Oryzias latipes: one gene and its partner. The protein of the gene in region 1 purifies or fractionates together with the protein of each later gene. This does not show direct contact. Links are inferred from orthologs where the notes say so. Each region holds a gene or a part of one and is shown in the gene's direction. Other genes may lie near its edges. The genes, in order: retreg1 and map1lc3a.

Region 1 (10,760 bases):
TGGTGTTGTTTGACACTGTGGCGTAATGAAACAGGATCTAGTCACTTCTCAGTATCCAAAGTATTCATGGAGCACACACAGCATGTGACTCATGTAAACTAAGAGAACCTCTTCTTAAGATATGCAACATTTGTGGGTTTTAACAATAAAACCTTTTGATTTATTCAGTCTTTCCTTATGAAAGTTGGCTAGAGAATTGAGTCCCACAACTGTTGCATCCGTTTCATTTGGTCCTATCTGTCTACCATCTTCAGCAGTCAGGAATGAATCCCAAAGATCAAAGCACAAACATACAAACATTTTCTTTGGGAATCTTGTCAGATTGAGGATCTCTCATCCGTTTGAAGGAGTAGCACCGTCTTTTTTTTCCTAACCATGTTGCAAAGTCAGCACAATGTAACCTGTGTTTCATGGTCCCCTTATTTTCCTTTCGGGAAAAGTTTTTATATTAGAAAGCTAAAAAACAAGCTACTGTCAGTAATTTCTTCAGTCTTTGACCAGATTTACCATAAGAATAAAGTGAAAAACAATTTGAAAAAGTCCAAAGCCAAACGATAAACTGCAACTTGATAATTTAAAGGGACTATATCACGCAAAATCAATTTCTTGTGCTTTTAAGTGTTTCATAATGTTCATTCCTCACGAAAAGAAACCCCAAAGTGGTATTTTGATTCGTTCACACATTTCTGAGTATTCCTCTAAAAACCTGTGCTCTGATACCAGCCCCTTCCAATCCACAAAAACGAGCGGATTCTCACATTGTGATGTAGACCAGTGAGAACAGCCCCTTCCAGGAAGAGTCTTAGCTGCTAGCACCGCCCCCAGGTTAACAGACACACCCACTTTCTCAATGGAGCTAGTGGTATTTGGCTGAACCGCTTACATTTTGCACAATATGCACATCCACCTCTCAAAAAGTTTGGATGTTGTTTGTTTTCATGGGCGAGACGCAGACACGCTGCTAAGGCCGGCTCTAGGTTGACGTCATGAAATGGGTGGCACCCACGTGGAGGGAAAGGCGGAGCCTCAGAGATTCAGTCGTCTTAATTACGGGTAGGAAAGAAATTCATGAAAATAACTAATATTTAATTTTAAAAAAGTCTTATTTTGTGTTCCAAAGGTAATATATCATCATATACATGGATGCTGTTTAGTATAAAAAGCTTAAGAGAAGCATGATATAAGCCCTTTAAACATAACGTGTAGCGCATTCACACCAAGTATTGTACCTGAGAACGTTGTACCCCCACCATGCTTGACTGATTTTCCGCCCTGTGCTTGACTGCTGTTAGTAGAAATCAAGTGGGTTTGTTTGCAGAATTGAAACAGAAACACGGTTTAATGGATTCATACCACGATTCTTCAAAGCTATGAAGTCAGCTAGTGACTCCCCCCGTCACATGACAGTTGCTCAAAATGATTCGGCATTAAAAAGACATTGGAAATGGCAAAGATTGAGCTAAATAAGACAAACCATAGTGAAAAATATAGATTAGACTTCAACTCAAGTCAATTTTTAGTGACCTGTAAGACATTTGTCACCCATTCATAGATGGTAAACCAGTAAAAAAATAAAAAAAGGTTTTTAGAGCATACTGCCACCTTCTGTTTGGAGTGCATACACCACCCACATTCTAGCAGGGTTTTATGCAGATTCCTCACAAATGTTTTTAAAAATTTAGTTTTTTTTGTTGATTTCTTAGTTAAGGTTCTGTGTTAAGTTCATCTTGTGTTCATTTTAATTAGTCCAGCTCTTTGTTTCCAGTTAAAGTCCCTCCAAGTTAAAGTGACCAGTCATCCCAGATGTTTATCACCTGTAGTGTCTTAAATCCACATTTTTGGTTCTATAGTTGATCCTCTGTGCTCTCATCCCTTCTCGTCTCCTACTTTTTACATCCATCATGTTGAATTTAGCTGTGTTTGAGTCATCTGATTTTGTGAAATGTGAAATGTGTGTTCATTTCCATAATTCCTTTAAAAAAATTATACTTTTGTGGCTTGGCTGGTTGGATGTAGCCCTGGCTCGCAGGAAACCAGGGTTTGCTTCCCATGGTGCAATGAGCTTAATCCACTGTGGGTCCTTAGGCAAGACCTTTCACGCTCCTGCCTAACTGTGTAGGCACAGGGGGGCCCCAAGTCTGGATCTCCCTGTGCCGGTCCCTAGCCCGGAGAAAATACTAAGTCGTGTAAGAAGGACATCCAGCTTAAAACTCCCTGCCAAACTTGTGTGAATCAGTGAAGCGGATTTGCTGTGGCGACCCCTGATGGGATATACTGAAGAGTTAACAGCAACAAGAGCTGGAACCCCAATTTATGTAAAAAGAAACCAATAAACACTTGAAATTAATTAAACCCTGGGCCTTATATCTATATTATTTTCAGGACTCAAGTTTTGCTTTTTTTTCATGCAGTTTCAGTTTTTTTTGGAATAAAAATGTTCATGTGAAGTTAAACAGCTGTTCGTGTGACCTGGATTAGCAACCATGCTGCAGGTTTCTATTCTCAGCAGCTGCCAACAAATGTTAATTTGCAGTCGCCTAGTTAAGGCCTGAGTTTTCCTTAAGAGCTGCCAGCCAGAGGGATAAACAAATATAATGAATCTGGATTTTTTTCCTTAGATTTGTCCACAGATCACTTGTTCTACAGTTTTTCCACCATTGATTAACTATTCATTTAGTATTTTAGCCATTTAATGATTCCACAAGTGATTGTTAATTTTAAGAGGAATATTTTTGATGACATATTTGTTTTTGTTTGCAATCTCCGAGGATTCACGTTTTTAACCATCATTTATTTAAAACAATAAAGTTGATGAGTTTCCACGTTGTTTCGCTGTGATGTGACAAAAGCTCAAATGTTTGTGACATTAGTCTATAGTTATTTTGTAATATTCCAATACATTTGTAAAAAACATAGTGGGAATCATGTAGTTGAGATAAACAGGTGTTTCATGGGAAAGAAAAGTCTGTGACACCACATTTATGAAAAAAAAATAACATTTTTTTTTCTTTATTCATGCAACAACTCAAAAACTGTTTCCAATGAGTCCTGAGAGACCCAATAGGGTTGTTCTCTTCCCAAATGCATTATTGGATGTGTTTACTCTGCCTTTTGTCATACAGATGAGCTCAACACTATTGCTGGTAGAAATCCATGTTAAAATCTTAATTTACCTTTTTTCTCTCTTGGTTTTATTATTAGAAAACCCTCAGAAGTCAGAACTTATAGGAGAGCCTCTGTCTTTGGCAAAGGGTCATCTATATGCTGACCTAAAGAACAGAAAAGAAATAAATCCCATCTAATTGATGAGAGAAAAAGGAACCAGAGTCTCAACCCACAATCTTAATTCAATTTGTCATTAGAATTTCCCTTTTTTTTTAAAAAAAGAGGGAAGGTAGCAGAACCTAAATCCAAATCCCACCTGGTTTCATGCGGTTTACAGTGGTCCCCAACTATAACACACTTTGCCTTTTGCAGTCTTGCAGTTATGCAGAATTATTCGTGCAAATTTGAATGCATTTAAAAAAAATATTTACAGTGCAATGCATAGCTACACACGAGTTTTGAATGCGGACGCCCAAAATGCACATTTATGTACGAATACATAGACTTTATTGGAAGTGGTTGCTTGAAAGCGCATTGCTGAGGGCGGTGTGAATGTAGCTGGAAAGATCTGTTAAGATTGTGTTAAACATTTCAACAACAGCTACACAAACAGGACAATTGTGGACCTCTTTGGTTGTTGGCACCTTTAGCTGATCAGGAACTGTTGGACTGCTGTGTAAGAAAGAGTCCCAAGGTGAAAATGTGCTGCAGCAGGAAGCAGAGATGGAAACATTGGTGTGACCCACGCAGCATTCTGGATCAGCAATAGAGGACGGATCCTGCACAAGAGTTTTTACCAAACCCAAACAGAAAGAAGACAATAGTCTGCACTTCAGCAGGGGTAGTTTGCTGTAGTTTCACATGCATTTTCTTTTTCAGATATGTCCTTTACAAAACCGAAAAAATCTTGTTATTGCTTTGAAATACTTATTTGACTTTCTTTTGACAGGAAAGAACAAAGTGAATCCACAATAAGACAGTTCAAGGAGCAAGCAAAAAGTTAAATCCCAGCTGATCCTTTAGTAGCTTTCACTGATGTGTTTGGCACCACTGGAAACAGCTGTATGGATTTAAAGCATTCATCTTTGCAACAAAAAAGGTTGTTGTCATGTCATTTGGGTCATTTTCTGCATCTCTGTTTTGTCTTCAGTTGGGAGATCATCGACCCGGGCGAGGACAGTCGAACTGCGAGCGGACTGCAGTTCAGCGACTCCCTGAAGATCTTCCTCCAGGAAACGTCGGCCTTTAAGCAGCAAAACCCAGGAAAGGTGAGGAGGAAACGTACAGACGGGAGGCTCCAGTCCAGGGCTTCCTGGGAGATTTTCCAGCTGATTGTGTCAGATTCAGGACCAGGGAGAGTTAGAAGGCCTAAGTGAAGCATTATGTCGCTCACGTTTAACAACAGATGGATCAAGTGTGAACGTTTCAGTTTTCCAACACAAAGATTTATTTGATCAACATAGTAATTGAAAAATCCAACACCAAAAGAAAAAATACTATTTAATGGTTTCTGTGTTTTTTAGAAACTATTTCTATTTCTATTAGATTTTTTTGTCGTTGAAAAGCAGATTTTGCAGATCACTAAATTGGATCCATTTAAATACATTACGGACTTTTTAAAAAAAAATCTAAACATAAAAATGGACAAACAGTACCTCACTTTTAATTCTACCTTCTACCTACATTCTACCTGGCCTCATTAATTTTGTTTCCTTTAAAGGATTTAACCTTTTAAGAAGATCAAAGCAAAAGACAGTTTATATTTCTGCTCTGCATCTTCATCATCCACTTTTACCTGGGCTGGATTTGTGCTCCGTGAACAGCTGTTTTGGGATAACCAGCATTGATCTATCAGAGGAGACTTGTCTCACTCCTGTTTGCTTTTCCTCCCCTTGCAGTTCTGTTTGCTGGTTTGCAGTCTGTGCACCTTCTTTGCTGTCTTAGGACGCTACATTCCAGGGATTGTTATCTCGTACATTCTAGGTGAGTCCGCAGAGATCCTGCAGGTAGACGATCACGTTCACCAGTTTGTTGTGTCTGGAGTTACATGTTACACATTAGATGCAGATACCCTTCTGCAGTGTGAAAGCATGGGACTTTCAGCAGCTGCTGTGTGAATTAACGTGTCCCTCCTCTGTGTTGTTGTGTCTGTGAAGTGCTGGGTGTCTTCCTGTGGCCCCTGGTTTCGTCTCATGATGTCAGTTTGTGGCTGGAGCCAGTTCTGCAGAAGCTGGACTTCGGCATTGGAGACATTTTCCAAAAAATCAAGGAAGATCGGAGTAAAACAATGTTTTTGTTTTTTATTCCTGTGCATGCTATTTGTATACTAGAGTTCAAATGTCTGCCTAGCCTTTTTCAAGACAATATTTTTCTCATCTGTGTTTGATGTGTCAAGCTAACCGGGGCTTGTAGAATCTGAGAGACAGCTTTGAGGTTTTTGGGCGCTTCTTGGAGCATTTCAAATACGGATCACACAGTGAATCCTGCTAAACTTTTATTAAAAAAACTCAAAGACTGCCCTCTACTGGAAAGTAACTTTTAAAAAATTACAATTAGTACCAAATGCAAGTTTGGATTTGTGTTGTTCATGAGCTACAATTTCTCCACGACTTATTGAATGTTCCACCAGAAAACTGAATTAGTTTGTTTTTTCTTGTTTGCCTCCATCCAGTGAAGAGACTCATTCAGGCTCAGACTGAGAAAGACGGCGTTGAGTCGGACCTCTCCCTCATGTTCCCCAAGGTTTGAAATTCATGTCCTTTAATCTAATACTGTTTCTGTTGACTCACAGGGTCACAGCTAATGGCTCTCATCCTAATGCCCAGACTTCAGCTTAAAACGTCCAAGCCTTCATCACCGTTTCCTTCCTCCATTTATAGGTTATCCAAATAGAATTACTTTCGCTCGGAAGGATGATGAGAAACAAATCTGACCCACATCTCACGACGTGTCACTATGGAAACTTAATGTCTGTCAATGGAGGGACAAAAATGAACACATGTACAGTCACAAAATGTGGTCGTTTTTTTTGCTTATGTTAGAAAACAGAAATAATTTCACTATTGAAATGACATCCCACCAACCTGGAGAGCGCCATCTAGAGTGTTGTATCACAGTTAGAAGGGTTTTAAAGCCGAACTCCAACCATCTTTTGATCTATTGTAAAAGCATTCCCAGTGCTTTTTTAATTATGATTATGTCGATTTTAGCCAGAAAACCTTTGTCGTTTTTCTAGTTTTTGCAGAGCGGCGGTAGTTTATTAGAAGTTTGACACTGAGTTCTGAGCGGGACTGTTGGTGCAAGCAACCCCACCATCCTTCCCATCACCCTTACCTGAGAGCTGTCAGTTTACACTCCGTCCTGCTAGTTTATAACTCAATGATATCACTCACGTATGAGATCCTGATTATGAAGCTGAAACACAACAGATAACTTTGGTGGACCAGAATTTTCTATGCTCAACTCAAAATGACAGAAATCCTGATCAAACAAATGAGATTCTTTTTGTTTTCTCCTCATATTTTCGCGGCAGCTCGACTCCACAGTTTGTAAGGAAATGTGCGTCTCAGACACGGAGGTGTCCGACGTGACGTGGACGGACAACGGTACCTTTACCTTGTCAGAGGGACACACGCCGCAGACGGAGAACTCAGAGGGTGCGTTTGGTTTTTACCACCTTTCTGAAAGCTTTTTGTTTGCGCCTCACCTTGATGCTCTTTCAAACCGCAGATCTGGACAAAGAAGAAGCCTTCACCGGCGGCCTCGCTGATTTCCCCTCACTCGATAATGGCACCACCACAAATGGAGACGACGATGACCTCAGCCTCAGCCTTCCATGTGCTCCACCTCAACAGCCGTCAAAGCGTGCACTTTTTTCTGGCATGGATCAACACGCAGACAAAACCCTGGAGTTGGTCAACCAGATGGCAGAAGATGTTCTGACAGCTGCAGTCACAGCTGCCATCCAGGAGAGAATAGAAGCTGCCGTCTGTGCCTTCACCGGAGACCCTGAACCATCCAGACTCCCACAGTCAGAGCGGCTGCTGGAGTTGATGGAGGAGTCCGACAGCGAGGTGGAGGACTTTGAGTTGTTGGACCAGTCAGAGTTAGAGCAACTGGAAGGGGAGCTGGGGCTGGGAGAGGAGAAACTAAAGTCCACAGGGGAAACACAGATGGAGTCTGAAAAGCCAGCATCCTCTGGATTCTTCTCCAAACTCCTCAGACGCCATTGACATGAAAATGCAGGGGAAGGGGGTCACAGAGGACATGCAGGAGTAATGGGGGCAACATGGTCACACTTGTTAGAAAATCCATTGTCTTTATATTATCTGGTTTATAAAAAGAAAACTTCAGAGGACTGGTTTCACAGATGTAGTGTGTTTGTAGGCTGAGACGTCTGATCACAGGTACTCAAGGCCAACCAATCCACGTAGAGCGTTTAAAACCACACAGAATAAGACTCTACTCACGTCTGAAAAACACAACAACCAAAAAGAAATCTATTAGATCTTATGCTAAAGGAAATATTGAAAATTGCAATAAAAAAAATCGAAATGCATCTTAATGTTTTTCGCTTTATGAGATAAAATGTAACTTTTTTCTTTTTTTTTAAACACATTTTATGAAAAATACATCAATGACACTTTATTGTGGAGTTTTATTATTATTATTATATTTTTTAAATTAATCCAAATTAACAAATGATCACAATTAAAAAGGAAAACTTTGAAGGTGTTTTTTTCATAATCTAGGACCAACAGTGTCACAAATAATATTTCTTAAAGCCTTCAAGGTTTTCAGTTCAGATTTCGCCAGATAAGATTCAAGATTCAAAGGGTTTATTATCATATGCACAGTAAAGAAACGGGTTTCCCTGCACAATGAAATTATTTCTTTGCTGTCTGCTCCGAATGCCCAAAAGTATAGAGGAAACAAAAACAATTCACTCACATCATACACACAAAAACACAAGATGTCGAGTGGCTGTTGTAAAAGTGCAAATGTGCAAAAGTGACAGTGACAATAGCAACAATTAGGATAAGCAAAGGTGCAGTTTGTTTTTCCAGACTCCAGTCAGCTGTTAAGGAGTCTGATGGCAGAGGGAAAGAAAGAGTTCCTAAATCTGGTGGTCCTGCACTTCACACTCCTGTACCTCCGTCCTGAGGGGAGGAGAGTGAACAGTCCTCGTTGCGGGTGGGTGGGGTCCTTGATGATGGAGGCAGCTCTCCTGCAGACCCTGCGTTTGTATATGCTCTGCAGCGAGGGAAGAGGAGTCCTGGTGATCTTGGACGCAGTCTTTACCACTCTCTGCAGGCGTTTGCGGTCCATGGCGGTAGAGCTGCCGTACCACACTGTGATGCAGCTGGTCAGGATGGACTCAACCATGCAGCTGTAGAAGTTGCTGAGGATCTTCGGGGACATGCCGAACCTCCTCAGCCTCCTCAGAAAGTACAGCCGCTGATGAGCTTTCTTCACCAGCTGTGACGTGTTTAGTGTCCAGGTGAGGTCCTGGCTGAGGTGGACCCCCAGATATCTGAAGCTGCTCACCCTCTCCACTTCCAGACCTCGGATAAGAAGCGGCTGATGAGGGTTCCTCTTCTCCTTCCTCATGTCCACTATCATCTCCTTTGTCTTGTCTGTGTTGAGGGTGAGGTTGTTGTCCTCACACCATGTCACCAGACTGGCCACCTCCCTCCTGTAGGCTGCTTCGTCCCCGCCAGTGATGCGTCCTATCACAGCGGTGTCGTCGGCGAACTTCAGGATGATGTTGTCCTTGTGAGAGGCCACACAGTCATGGGTGAACAGGGTGTAGAGGATTGGGCTGAGAACACAGCCCTGTGGTGTGCCAATGTTAGAGATGATGCTGGCTGAAGTCCTGTTCCCTATTCTGACAGACTGAGGCCTGCCAGTCAAAAAGTCCAGGAGCCAGTCACAGATGATGGGATGTATTGTATGTAATTGTCCAAGAGTATAATGGTCCCTCCGTGTGGGGGGTGGGCGTCTCAAAGCGGGTGTAGAATGCATTGAGCTCGTCGGGCAGGCTGTCTGCAGCACTGATGTTGCTGGTGCTGCTTCTGTAGTCCGTGATGTGCTGTAGGCCCCTCCACATGCGGCCAGAGTCAGCAGTAGAATAGAAGCCATCCAGCTTCTCTCTGTACTGCCTCTTTGCTGCTGTGATGGCCTTCCTCAGGCCGTACTTCGCAGCTTTGTACTCGGACTCATTGCCAGATGTAAATGCAGTGGAGCGAGCACGCAGCATGTGACGTACATGGCTGTTTATCCGCAGGGCTTCTGATTAGGAAACTTCCTGACTTGGATGGTGGGCACAATGTTCTCCACACAAGTGCTGATATATCCAGTCACGTAGTCAGCATAATCCTGTATGCTGATAACATGTTAAAGTTGTAATTTCTTTCGGAAAAAACAAAAATATTTACTTTTTGTGTCTCCAATGTTAAGATAAAATGTTCAAAACTTTTTTTTTTTTGCAGAGAAAAACTCTATGTTCTGTGTTAAACCTTGGATAATTGATTCAGCATCTAATTATGATACTGGTATATGCATTTTCAGGATCTACACCATATATTAGATGCAATCAGAAAAGCAGAACATGGGAATTATGCTGTGATCTAACTTTATTTACTCAAAAACATCTTATAAAGCTTTGGAGTTTATGAATTTTATCTACTGTACTTGCTGATATTATTATTCATTTTTTCTTGGACAGTAAAAAAGTCAGAAAGTTCAAAAAATTCGAATCAAAAGCAGGACGTGGCTAATGTCTGCATCAAACTTTTTAATAAGATCCGTGACAGTATTGTGAGTCTGCCTAGTTCAGATCTGTGAAACAGAGAGATTTTTCTGTCATTGTTAATCATAGAAACTGATAAAAACTTTTGTCACACGAAGACGTAAAAAATGCTAGAGCAAGGTACCTTTGTGAAGGACGCCCTCTTGTGGTCGAGTGCTTCAGTACAGCTTACATTTCAGTTAAACGTTTGTCAATTCGTGTTAGATAAATATTTAAGAACATTTGCAGAAAATAAAAATGGCTGGCTCTTGCTGCACAGAATGAAAGTTTATCTAAAGCTGAATACATTTATAGTATTTAGTAAAGAGTGGTTGCTTTGGAAAATTGGAAAATGTCCTTTGAAGTAGACCCTGAAATCATGACACACATTTTCCCGCCTTAGTGAAAAAATTAAGGTTTGTTACTTTGAACAATCACTGTTATGTACAGGTCTGAATCTGAACGTCTTCTTAGCCGATTTGGAGTTTTTTAAATCCTCCTTTTGTTGTTTCTGTTCTAGTTTATATCTAATTAGAATGAATCTCATCATCATCATTTATGGTAAATTGAATTGAATCTTGTTACGATAAAATTATAACGCATCCGCAGCTAATTTGATATCGCCATAAGATGATGTAAAAAAGTTTTCAAACTTGAATCTCTGCTAAAGCATGAAAGCACTGAGTTGCTGTTAACTGGTTGGGTAGACAGATTTAAGCAACATGATATTCAAGAGAAGTGACTGATCGCAGTAAATTCTGCAAACATACTTTTTTTTAAATCTCCTTTTAGGACAATTTTTAACCACAAGTGGGAGAAAAAAAACCTATAGTCATGTTTTCATGTCGCGTGGACCACGTGACTG
Region 2 (11,320 bases), on another chromosome or scaffold:
TATTACACTACATGATTACATTCAGCAACCATATGGGCAGAAGAGAAGGAAATAAAAAGGAAAACAAATTAAATTTGGTTTATTGCTTTTCACTGAGATTTAGTGAATATGCTGGAAAAATGATTTTTTATAAACAGTCCAGTTTAGTGAGTTTAGTTGGTCAGTGTATCTGGACACCTCTTGTGGTGGACCCCAGAGGTCTGTTTTAGGCATTGAACTGTTAATTTGTATTAATGTTAAATTTAACGGACTACTGATAAAATAAGCATTGTCTCCAATGTTGGGGAAACAGTTTACAACTGTTGAAGGGAAACATTCTTTTAATGCAGTGAGGGGAAAACGATGTTTCCAGACTTTTGCTTGCAGAATGAAACCGATAGTATGTAGACAGAAAAAAAAGCTAATCAAACACTGTGCTGTTGTCTAACATGATTTTTTGACAATGGAAATCTGGAGCCATGATTAACATATGGATGTTTTTAATACTGTGTTATTACTTGATGCTTCATTGTGTACATATTTACTTTTACTATAGATCACATGTGTCAAACTCAAGCATAAAAGTTTTTATTTTCTTAAAATAAAATAAAAATTGTTGTGTATTTAGTCATATCTAGGGGAAATCTGACTTAAAATATCGGAATGGGCAACTATACATTAGGACTTAAACACTGTCCATATAAACTAACCTGACAGAATCAAATGTAAAAAGATTTATGGTAGAGTAACAAGCAAACATACGTTTTTATGCAACTGTAATTGTCACTTTAAAAAGTTATAATAAATAAATAATGAGTTATTTAACATTAAGGAGTAGTTACATTTATTTTTCATTACATTTAGTTACATGAATAAGTCACATCTGGCCCTTTGAGGACAACCACTATGCTGATGTGGCCCTCAGTGAAAATGAGTTTGACACGCCTGCTATAGATCTATTTAAATCATGACTTCTGACTCGTTCAACTGCCTTTTTTGAAACTATCTTCACATCATTTCTTCTGTAACGTTTTAATTTCCCACTTTACACTGGGTCAGTAAACGTAACAAAAAATGCCCTCACTTTTAAAACCAGAGCTCCCCCTTGAGTTTTTAGTTTGCCCATGCATCTTTAGACCCAAGATCGCGAGCAGGGAACAGGTGGAGGAGAAGCTAGAGAGGTGGAGGTTTGCCCTGGAAAGGAGAGGAATGAAGGTTATCTGCAGGAAGATGGAGCACATGTGTGTGAATGAGAGGAACCCAAGTGGAAGAGTGAAGTTACAGGGAAAAGAGATAAAGAAGGTGGAGGATTTGAAGTATCTAGAGTCAACAGTCCAGAGGAATGGAGATGTGGAAAAGAAGTGGAGAAGCGAGTGTAGGTGGGTTGGAATGGGTGGAGAAACGTCTCAGGTGTGATGTGAAGAGTTTCAACTAAAATGAAAGTAAAGGTGTAGAAAACTGGTGAGAGTAGTCATGTTGTGGGCTTAGAGACACTGGCAATGAGGAAAATACATGAAGCAGAGCTGGAGGCAGCAGATATGAAGATGCTGAGGTTCTCTTTGGAAGTGACCTGGATAGGATCAGGAATGAGTGCATCAGAGCGACAGCACATGTTAGAGGCTTTGGAGATAAAGTCAGAGAGGCCAGACTGAGATGGCTGGGACATGTCCAGAGGAGAGACAGAATGCCTTTCTTTCGCCAAATGGAAGAGCGTTCAGTGTGTCACCAGTTATTAAGATGACATTTTTAAATAAATTTCAAGTTTTAATAGCTTTTAAATTTGTAGAATTTTTGAGAAGTCACTGTAGTTTTTTTGTTTTCACAAATGAAAAGAAGTAAAGATGGTTTCATGGAGGTATATTTACATTTATGGAATTTGGCTAGAAGAAAAATTAAATTGAGTAAATAGGCCTTCTTGTTTTCAATTAAAAAAACACAACAACCTAAGATAATATGCCTATAACAAAGAAAAACAAAACAAAATAACATAATGAAGAATATATTTTTCCAGCAAGTTTAGTACACCAGTCCAAAATGTTGTGGTACATGAACAGATCTTAAATTATGATATTTTATCATATTCTTCAATCTTTTTATGTTTTATGATGTTTTATCACATAATTTTATCATTTTATTTGCTTAATCTAGAATTTTTATTCTTGTATTTTATGACATTTTATCATATACATATCTGTTTAATCTAGAATTTTACTTGTATACTTTTTTTATGATATTTTAACACATTTATTTTATTAGACTGTTTACGAGTGTTTTCTCACCCTTGGCTGGGGTGTTTGTGTTTTATACTGACACCCCTGCCAATAGGAGGACAGGGCAGACGGCGCCTTCTGGTTTCTCTGGTTTATCTTTATTTATTTATTTATTTATTTATTTATTTATTTTCCACTGATATTTGTCTTTGTGTATTTTATTGTGTGGGGCTAATTTAACGTATCTTATTATATTTTATTGCATTTGATTTTGTTTTTATGTACAGCACCTTGAGCTGTCTTTGAAAGATGCTATATAAATAAAATTAATTTGAATTTGAATTTAAATGAATGTGTAACGGTTTCCAGAAGACTATTTCAAATTGATATCCTTTTGAAATCTGTGGGAGATAAAAAAACATTTAGTGGATAATATTTATATAACCATTCATTCATTGATTCATATTCGAATCTTCTAATTTTATCCTTTCAGGTTCACCGGGCTGCTGGAGCCTATCCGGGCCAATTGCGGGCAAAGGAGGGGACATCCTGGACAGGTTGTCAGTCTGTCACAGGGCCACAATCACACACACATGCACACACACATTCACACCTATGGACAATTTAGAGTTCCCAATGAACCTATGAAGCATGTTTTTTCTGTAGCAAGATTAAAAAAAAATTCAAAACCAGAAATGCTTTTTCATTTTAAAAATGAAGCTGTATTTGTTGACTCAAATTAAAATGAAAACACAATCTGCCAAACCGCTTTTTCTTTTTCAACACAACTCATTCTGTCACTTAATTAAAATGATAATGAAACGGTTTTTGACATTTCCTTTACAAAATGTTCTCTGGTAAATGTGATGCAAAATTCATTTAGAAATGTCTAATTTGACAATTAAAATGGACTAACAGAAATGCTTTTTCATTTTCACAATGTAACTGCATCAAATAACTCAAAATTAAAATGAAACATCAATCTTTCAAAATGCTTTTTCATTTCTACTTTAACATCTGTGACATAATTAAAGCAAAAATGCAAGGAGAGGATTGCATTTTCGTTTTCACATCCACCGTGCGAAAAGTGTCGCAATATTAAATTGAATCCGTTAGTTCAAAAGGGGCCCAAGTCCAAGAGGTTTGTTTTTCCAGGAAATGATTTTAATTGCATAGCTTATAGGGAGGCTACACCAAATGATGAATACTTTACCCAGATTTAGCACAAGTTCATAGCTTACAAATGCTATAATATGAAGCACCTCACTTTTATCATTTTAGAGGACTAGCAAACTAAAGTCTCTGGACTTGGACCCTTCTTGAATTAAACAGGGGTGCTGCCATATTGGATAACTAGTGCTGCCATCTATGGGATAAAGCTAAACCCATCCAAGAGAGGCCCAAGTCCAGGAAAATGCACTTAATGCATTTTAAATGTCAAGCATAGTCAATACATAACAACGGACTTGGGACTTTTTTTTGCACATAATCAGATAGCTTTTCCCTTGAAGACCATAGAAAAAATAAAATCTCTATTTTGAAAAATTGTGGACTTGGGCCCCTCTTGAACTGACCAATTCAATTCTAGTTAGCATTTGCAGGAGGGAGGCGGGGCAAAAAAGAAAAGAAAGAACATTTTGGAGGATTGCTTATTTTAATTTTGAGTCAACAAATGCAGCTGCATTTTCAAAATGAAAAAGCTTTTCTGGTATTGACTTTTATTTTTAATTATGCTACAGAAACACTTCCATAGTGGTACACATGCAAACTCCACGCAGAGACGTCCCCATTGATGTTCTGTTTCAGGACTTGAACCAGGGGCCTTCTTGCTGTCAGGCAAGAGTGCTGACCACTGTGCCACCATGTGCAGTGGATAGTGCTATAAACATTTAAAAGAAATGCATCTTATCTAAGTAGTTTAAAAATATTTATAATGTAATATCCACATTTTTTCCAGGGTGAGCTAGAGATTCTACTGTTCCAAAACAGAAATGATCTGTGGAGAAGAGACAGCAATCCAGCATTTGATGTCTGAGCCTGGAATCTTCATTTGGAGTCTTGTGATGGTCAGAGGGCCCCAGAGGGGCCCCAGAGGGCCCCCAGAGGGACCGCAGAGGGACCGCAGAGGGACCTGCCCCTATAGCGTTTTTGCTCCATGCAGATCGGGTTTTCTGTTTGGTTCGGGTGAGAACGGCAGCTTCTCAGTCCAGTTAGGAAGCCCAAAGTCTGGCTGATGGAATGAAGGAGTGAAGTGGTTCCAACACCTGGACCAGTTTGGTTCCGAGCAAATGGGGGACGTCCCCTTTAAACGTAGCTGCTGACGTCACCGTCTGTGTTCAGAGGCTTTGTTTGCCCGGACGGAGCCGCCGCTGAGAAGACCTGTAGAGAAGAGCGCCGAACCGATTTGCAGCGTCTGACTTAACCGGGCTGGACCTGACACCACGGCGACAAAGATGCCGTCCGACAGGCCTTTCAAGCAGCGGAGGACTTTCGGTAAGAAGAACCGGCCGCTGTGGGCCCCGCCAGCCCGTCCGCCACCGGACTTTCTCAGGGCAGGCCAGGGCCGCCGTGTCCGCGGATGGCCGGCCCGGTTCCGTCGCTGTCGGCAGGACCGGCGCGAGACCTCTGCAGGTTTTCGTGGGTCAGCTGGGTTCTTGTCACTCTGGGCCTGTTCCCGTTCTGCCAGACCTCCGATAGCAGATTAAAAACTGCGAGCCGGACCTCGGTTCCGTCAGTGCTTGACCCGTTTACCGTGGATGCTGCCATGTGACACCGGAAGCTCCTTCTGTTCTTCCAGAGGTCTCGCAGGTCGTGGAGGTTCAGGCGGTGCTTCTCTGTTGGGGGTCAGGGGAACGGTACTGTGGTGGGGGGGCAGCAGAAGGTCACTGACCACCTCAGGACTACTGTACTCTAACAAGGAAACGATCTAAAAGTAATAGATTACTTTAGCTGAGGCCCAACGGGGGCAGCCATTTCAACCAAGAAGCTGCTTATCACGTGTTCCTGCTGTAGAGGATTATTAAAAGATCAATTCTCAAGATGTTTAAATAGAAAACATTCAAAATGAGATAAATTGATATCGTTACCATTTGGATTGAAGTACAGTAGATTTATTTGACTATAAGGTTTAAAGTGACCAAGTGCATCACAGCAGACAACACAACATACATGTGATGTCATCAGCAAAAACTGATGAGTCCATCATTACAGTCCTATGTGTAGAAAATACTTTGAATATAAACATATATAGACAAAGTCATGTCACCATACAGTGTGGTAGAATGTTTTTAAAATGTTCCCTTTGGATCATTTTGATGTGGAAAAACAACAGTGGACTGAACTTTAGGAAACTAAAATGTGAATAGATTGGACATCCATTCTTGTTTACTTGTTTGTTTGTACACATATTTAATTTACACTTGATTATCTTGAAGAAACACAAGGAATCTGGAAAACTTCCCCTACACTGTTCAGAACCTGCAGGTATTTCTCTCTGAGTCACACTGGTGGACGTTTTGGCTAAAGGTGTCCTGGATCCACTTTAAGTCAGTGGATCAGATCCAATTGGATCGCCTAACATGAACCAAAATCCAAATTTAGTCAAATTGGCAACCACAGTCAGCTGTAGCTACTGAGCAATAACAACATTAGAGGACACCTCCATCTCAATGAAAGAGCAGAACCCCCTGCAGAACCAGATCCATGTTACTTGTTAAGGTTGAAACATTTGTTTTCTAGGAATCATTTTTGTGCTCGTGTCATTGTAATGGAAGAAGCTGCTCTCATCATTCCAGCACTCTGTCGTTCTTTAACAACACACACAGACAGCACTCAGCCTCTGGCCTCCATCTTTAATGTGAACAAGTGAAACTGCAGCAGCAGGAAAGGAACCCTTAAGTGAGGTTTGATTTCTGCCGGGGTTCAAAAACAAGAAATGCAGCATTCTAAATGACACCAGGAAACACTAGCTAATTAATCCACATGTACTCAATGTCTATGATAAATGAAAAACTCCAGGAATACAAAAGACAAGGACAGAGGGAACAAGGTGTCAAATTCATTTTGGTTTGGGGGCCGTCTGATCTCATGTGGGCCAGACCAGTAACATAAAGGCAAAATAACAGCTTTGTGGTTTTTTTTCTTAGTTGGAAAAAATGCCTTAACCATAGGAGGCAAATCCCTTATTATTACAGATTCATTGACAGAGGCCAAGGGATCTAAAACAAAATGCATTTCACTTAAAAAAAACATGGTCGATTCAATTTTATACAGACTGAAGCAATCCTGATAATAAACTCAAGAGGGGCTACGGAAAAAAAAGAAACACCTTGCCTAAGATTTAAATGTGTAAATAAAGGAAAAATTAGACTAAATCATACTTGCAAACATATGTGAGCAATTTGGAGTTAACCTCCCTTTCTCTCCTGAAACCATCCATCAATATCAGGATTTAAATCCTGTGCAGCAACACATTTACTGTCATTCAAGTGTGCAAAACACAATGAAATTTCCAAGAGTCTTTTCCTGGTTTGCTGCCAGAATTTTGTGGCAACACCTGCCTTCTTCCTGAGCTTTGATGGGGCGCCATCAGTGACCAGACTGACATCATGTGACCAGTTCACTCCAACATTGTCCAGCACAGTAACTAGAGAGCTGACTATGTCATCAGCTGTTGTTTTGTCCATCAACTCAAGAAACTCTGCTGTGATGGTCTGCTCAACACCTCTAATAAATATGCACAACTTTATTCATCTGTGATGTCGGTGCTTTCATCAACAGTGACTGAAAATACAATAAATGACTAGATTCCTTCATTTGGCCGTCCAAGTCTCCTCGGAGATGTTGTGTAATCGTAATCCTTGACAGACTCATGTTGGCAAAGGTAGACTGCTTTTTGGGGTACAACACTTCTGCATCCTTCATATTTTCCATAAGTTCACAATCCAAAAATGGATTGGATGTTTGCTCCAACTTGTCTGCAATAAGGTGTCTATCACTGCTCTATCACTGACGTCACGGCTGCAGTTAATGCAGACGGTTGTTTTTTCAGTCTAGCTAATAGTTGGTAAATCTTCTCTTTTCTTAACTGCAAATAGTGAAACTTTTTTTATGTTGAGTCTCATAATGGTGCTGAATGTTATATTCGTTGAGCACTGCAACCTTTTGATGGCATACCAAGCATGCAGGTTTTCAGGTTTCAGCTCCATGAACAAATAAAACTCTTTCCATTTTTCCTGGAAAGCTCAGCCCTCCACTTCAACCTTTTTTACTTTTGTTGCTTTGTGATTCTACCCCCTCCCATACGTCTTTATCATCCTCCAACTACTTGAACCCCATTTTCCCCCCTTTCTTTTGTACCCATGTCCCCCATCTCTAACATCCCTCTTCCTCTTTCTCTCCTTTTTTTCCATCCAGTCCAGCAGGAGATGTATGCAAAAATATTTAATGTAAAGTTTAGCTTCATATACAAAATAAGTTTATACAAATATACACCTTGTGTGTTAGAAGATTCCTAACCTCCTATTGTTACAGTAACATCTGTCCAATACAAGAAGCCTTCAGCTCTGATTTGTTTTCTCGCCTTCTGCACAGGACAAGAACAAATTTCATGTGGTTTTAGAAGATGCCCAGTTGCTCCATTACAGCCTTCACATTAGCACTGCAGAACACTCAGGCAGTTAACATACAGAACCTTTCAATGTTTTTCTGGGTCTGGTTTCCCCACAGCTGACCGGTGCAAAGAGGTGCAGCAGATCCGGGAGCAGCACCCAAACAAGATCCCTGTAAGCTGCCTTTAACTTGATCATCACTGCATGCATTGAAGACCAGCTTTTACCATGTGGACATTTCTCTGAGCATGCTAATGCATTAGGAAAGCATGTGGCAGAACTCCTATGTTTCCATGTTTGGTGGGGGAGGGGGGTACCCAACATATAGAAAAGACAGACAAACTTATCTTTGTCTGCAGGTGATCATTGAACGGTATAAGGGGGAGAAACAGCTGCCCATTCTGGACAAGACCAAGTTCCTGGTACCTGACCATGTCAACATGAGTGAGCTGGTAAAAATAATCAGGTTGGTCCCTCGTTTGCTTTCATTAAACTTCAACTTTGGATGACAGAGAGGCTTGTTTAGTCTGCCACTGCAGAAACGTAGCATAAAAAAGGGAACAGAGCAGGAGAGCTGGACCAGAGAAGCGAACAAATGTACAAAAACTGAAAAAGCATGAGACAAAGCACAGGGCCCTGCGGTACACCATCCCTGGCTTGTGTATATTTACAGTATCAAACTGAAAGTTATCGTTTTAATATGGATTCTTTCTAGCTTGGTTTCAGTCATGAAGTAAACCCAACAGTGCTGTGCTACACATCAGTCCATGATTGGGTGTCATTCTAACCTGCAACGGCGAGTAATACACTAAGAGGTTCATTGAGATTTACTCACTAATAGGGCTGCGTGATATGAGGAAAACTTGCGATATGAGAGATTAATATTGCGATAATGATATAATTTGCGGTACATAATCAAATGGCAAAATAACCAAAAACATCATTCCCATTTCATTCCAACAGTTTTAAAATTATATGACCCTCGTCAACATAGGTGACAAACAGCTAACAGAATAGGCCTCCACCTGATTGGTCAACAATATGAAGGCGTACATCCGATTGGTCAAATGCATAAAGGGATTTAATTGATTCTTTAAATGCCTCAAGCTGCCATAAGATTGTTTTAACACATTTAAGGTTTACAATTTATTGTGATTTTTGCAGATTTTTGCCAATTAATGATATGGATATCGCAGAGCTGGGTATTGCGATAACGATAAATTTGCGATGTATCGTGCAGACCTACTCACTTAAAGTACAAAAACCAGAACATGATTTGATAAATGAAACCAAGCTAGTAGAGGTGCAACGCAAGGCACGTTTACCGCTGCCTGTTAAAGGCAGATTTACCTTTTTTAGCGGGTGCAGGTTCCTCTTCTGTCTCTTCATTGGACCGTTTCCCCTTGTCAAAGCAACTTTCTAAAGAAGTTTGTTTTTTGCTCATTTTGGTTGTTTGGGTTTAATTTTAGCGGGGTGTATCATGTGATGTTTGGTGTCGCGACTTTGACGTGCGTGAAATGTGACGGATGTAACAGAGAAAATCCAGTCAATTTTCAAAATAAAACGTTTTTGCGAAAAAAAACAATAAAATGGAAATTATTTTTTCTTTCTGTGCGTCCCGGTGCCAAAATTTCCCGCGGCCCGGTACCGGTCCACGGCCCGGTGGTTGGGGACCACTGATTTACAGCATTGATTATCTTATTTGTTTTCAGATTTGTGAATTTATGGCTGAGGATCTCCTGAAACTGTAAAATAACCTGTAAAGTTTATCTGCTGACATTACGCTAAATCAACAGGCATGTGTGTTGTGTTCATTTTATGTTAAATCTTTCAGTTTCTTATTTTTAAAAACTGCTTTTGTAAGAAAAGAATTTTCATAAAAAAAGCTACTTTCTCTTCATATTTCAACATCAATTGATAAAAATAAGACATGGAGTTGGAGTTCAGACGTTTTATTCTGCCACGGGGTTTTAAACAAAATGGTCGCTACACTAAAAGAAAGAAATGCTAAACCCTGTTTTTATTTCATTTTTGTGGCTTTGCTGCTCCTTCTGAGAGAAACGCGCCAGAATTGTTGAAAACGGCAGAAACCCCTTCGAACAGAACCGATACAAAGTCCACGTCTTCCTCCAAGCACTTAATACAAGACAGAGACACCTGATTAGTTAGAATCTAGACCAATCAGCAGGCTGTTTGATGGCAGCTTTGTCACGCTAAACTGAAACTTATGAGAGCAAAGTCATAAGGAAAAAAGCGAGATGAGACAACGCATGTGAAAACATTTGTGCTGTAAATTCAAAATTATTTTTTGAAAACAAATATTTCATATTTTTTTTGCAACTTAGAACGTTTTGTTTGCAATGTGGTGGCATAAATATCACTTCATATTAACCATGATGCACAGCATTTGCTCACCTGAATCTCCAGGTAACTGGAGATAAAACAGCAGACCAACCAATCTGTAGCCAAGTTTCCATGACACATATGCACAAAACTTTATTGAAATTCTAGAAGAAAAAAATTGGCAATTACACTGTTTCTATTAAACTCTGATTACGTGAAAAATTACAAACCAACTCACGATAAGTTATTCAAAAATGTGGTGATGAATGTGAACAATGCTTTGATTTACAGCAGATACGTTCAGATTTCTGCCACGGCACTAGCGCTCATCATCATCTCTATCAAAGGAGACGTTGGCGTCTTATTCAGACTTTGGAGCGGCGAGCTCCTTAAACGTAGGAGCGGCTACAAATGAAGCCATTTTTGGAAATGGTGGGTGGTGATTTTAGAGATGTGGATCCAAAAACTCCACATGACGCGCTCAACTTTTGATGAGCTGTGTGACGCTGTGGGACCTCTTGTGGCGCCCGCTGTGCAGTGTCCAAGGCCGCCACTACCCACCAAGAGGCGCATTGCCATCCGGTTGTGGGTCAAGTAATTCGGAAAAAAGTTTCCATTACAGTTTTGCAAAATATCTCAATTTCAATCTGCCTCAAAAACCGCCTCCTCCGAGCGCAAAATCTTTTTCCAAAAAATGTGAGTTTTTTATTAAATTGTCCTGTTTCCATTAGACAAATTTATCACAAATCCAATTTCTGCAATTTCCTAGTCAATAAAAACACAGCCATTGACTGAAAAGATGTTTTTGCCTTACGATCTCGCCCCCACCCCAGGCGTCGGCTCCAGCTGAACCCCACTCAGGCCGCCTTCTTGCTGGTCAACCAGCACAGCATGGTGTCCGTGTCCACCCCCATCTCTGAGATCTACGAGCAGGAGAGGGACGAGGACGGCTTCCTTTACATGGTCTACGCCTCCCAGGAGACCTTTGGATGCTAAGGAGGAAGGGAGGGGGTGGGGCAGTGGCAAATCCTCCCGTGTTGGGTGGACAGATTTTTGTTGGGGTGTGCAGTTCAAATGCCCCAGGCAAACACTCACCTCTTAGCTGTGTTTTATTACAGGCCTATTGAGAATCCGAAGTTATCAGAAAAACTCGCTCCAGACCTCAGAGGACAGGTGCGT

The links.
Region 2: the proteins of retreg1 (region 1) and map1lc3a purify together in Homo sapiens (affinity purification with western blotting; 3 studies listed by BioGRID and IntAct, with this or other methods). This does not show direct contact. The link is inferred for Oryzias latipes from reciprocal best matches to the Homo sapiens genes RETREG1 and MAP1LC3A.

Annotation. Positions count from the first base shown.
Region 1 is NC_019875.2:8,683,793-8,694,552, reverse strand, and holds the end of retreg1 (reticulophagy regulator 1), read left to right. Parts: intron 1-4,255; coding exon 4,256-4,373; intron 4,374-5,003; coding exon 5,004-5,088; intron 5,089-5,261; coding exon 5,262-5,384; intron 5,385-5,776; coding exon 5,777-5,847; intron 5,848-6,637; coding exon 6,638-6,761; intron 6,762-6,834; coding exon 6,835-7,337; 3' UTR 7,338-7,663; downstream 7,664-10,760. UniProt on the Homo sapiens protein: Endoplasmic reticulum (ER)-anchored autophagy regulator which mediates ER delivery into lysosomes through sequestration into autophagosomes.
Region 2 is NC_019863.2:5,854,610-5,865,929, forward strand, and holds the start of map1lc3a (microtubule-associated proteins 1A/1B light chain 3A), read left to right. Parts: upstream 1-4,508; 5' UTR 4,509-4,642; coding exon 4,643-4,682; intron 4,683-7,916; coding exon 7,917-7,972; intron 7,973-8,157; coding exon 8,158-8,264; intron 8,265-10,974; coding exon 10,975-11,137; 3' UTR 11,138-11,320. UniProt on the Homo sapiens protein: Ubiquitin-like modifier involved in formation of autophagosomal vacuoles (autophagosomes). While LC3s are involved in elongation of the phagophore membrane, the GABARAP/GATE-16 subfamily is essential for a later stage in autophagosome maturation.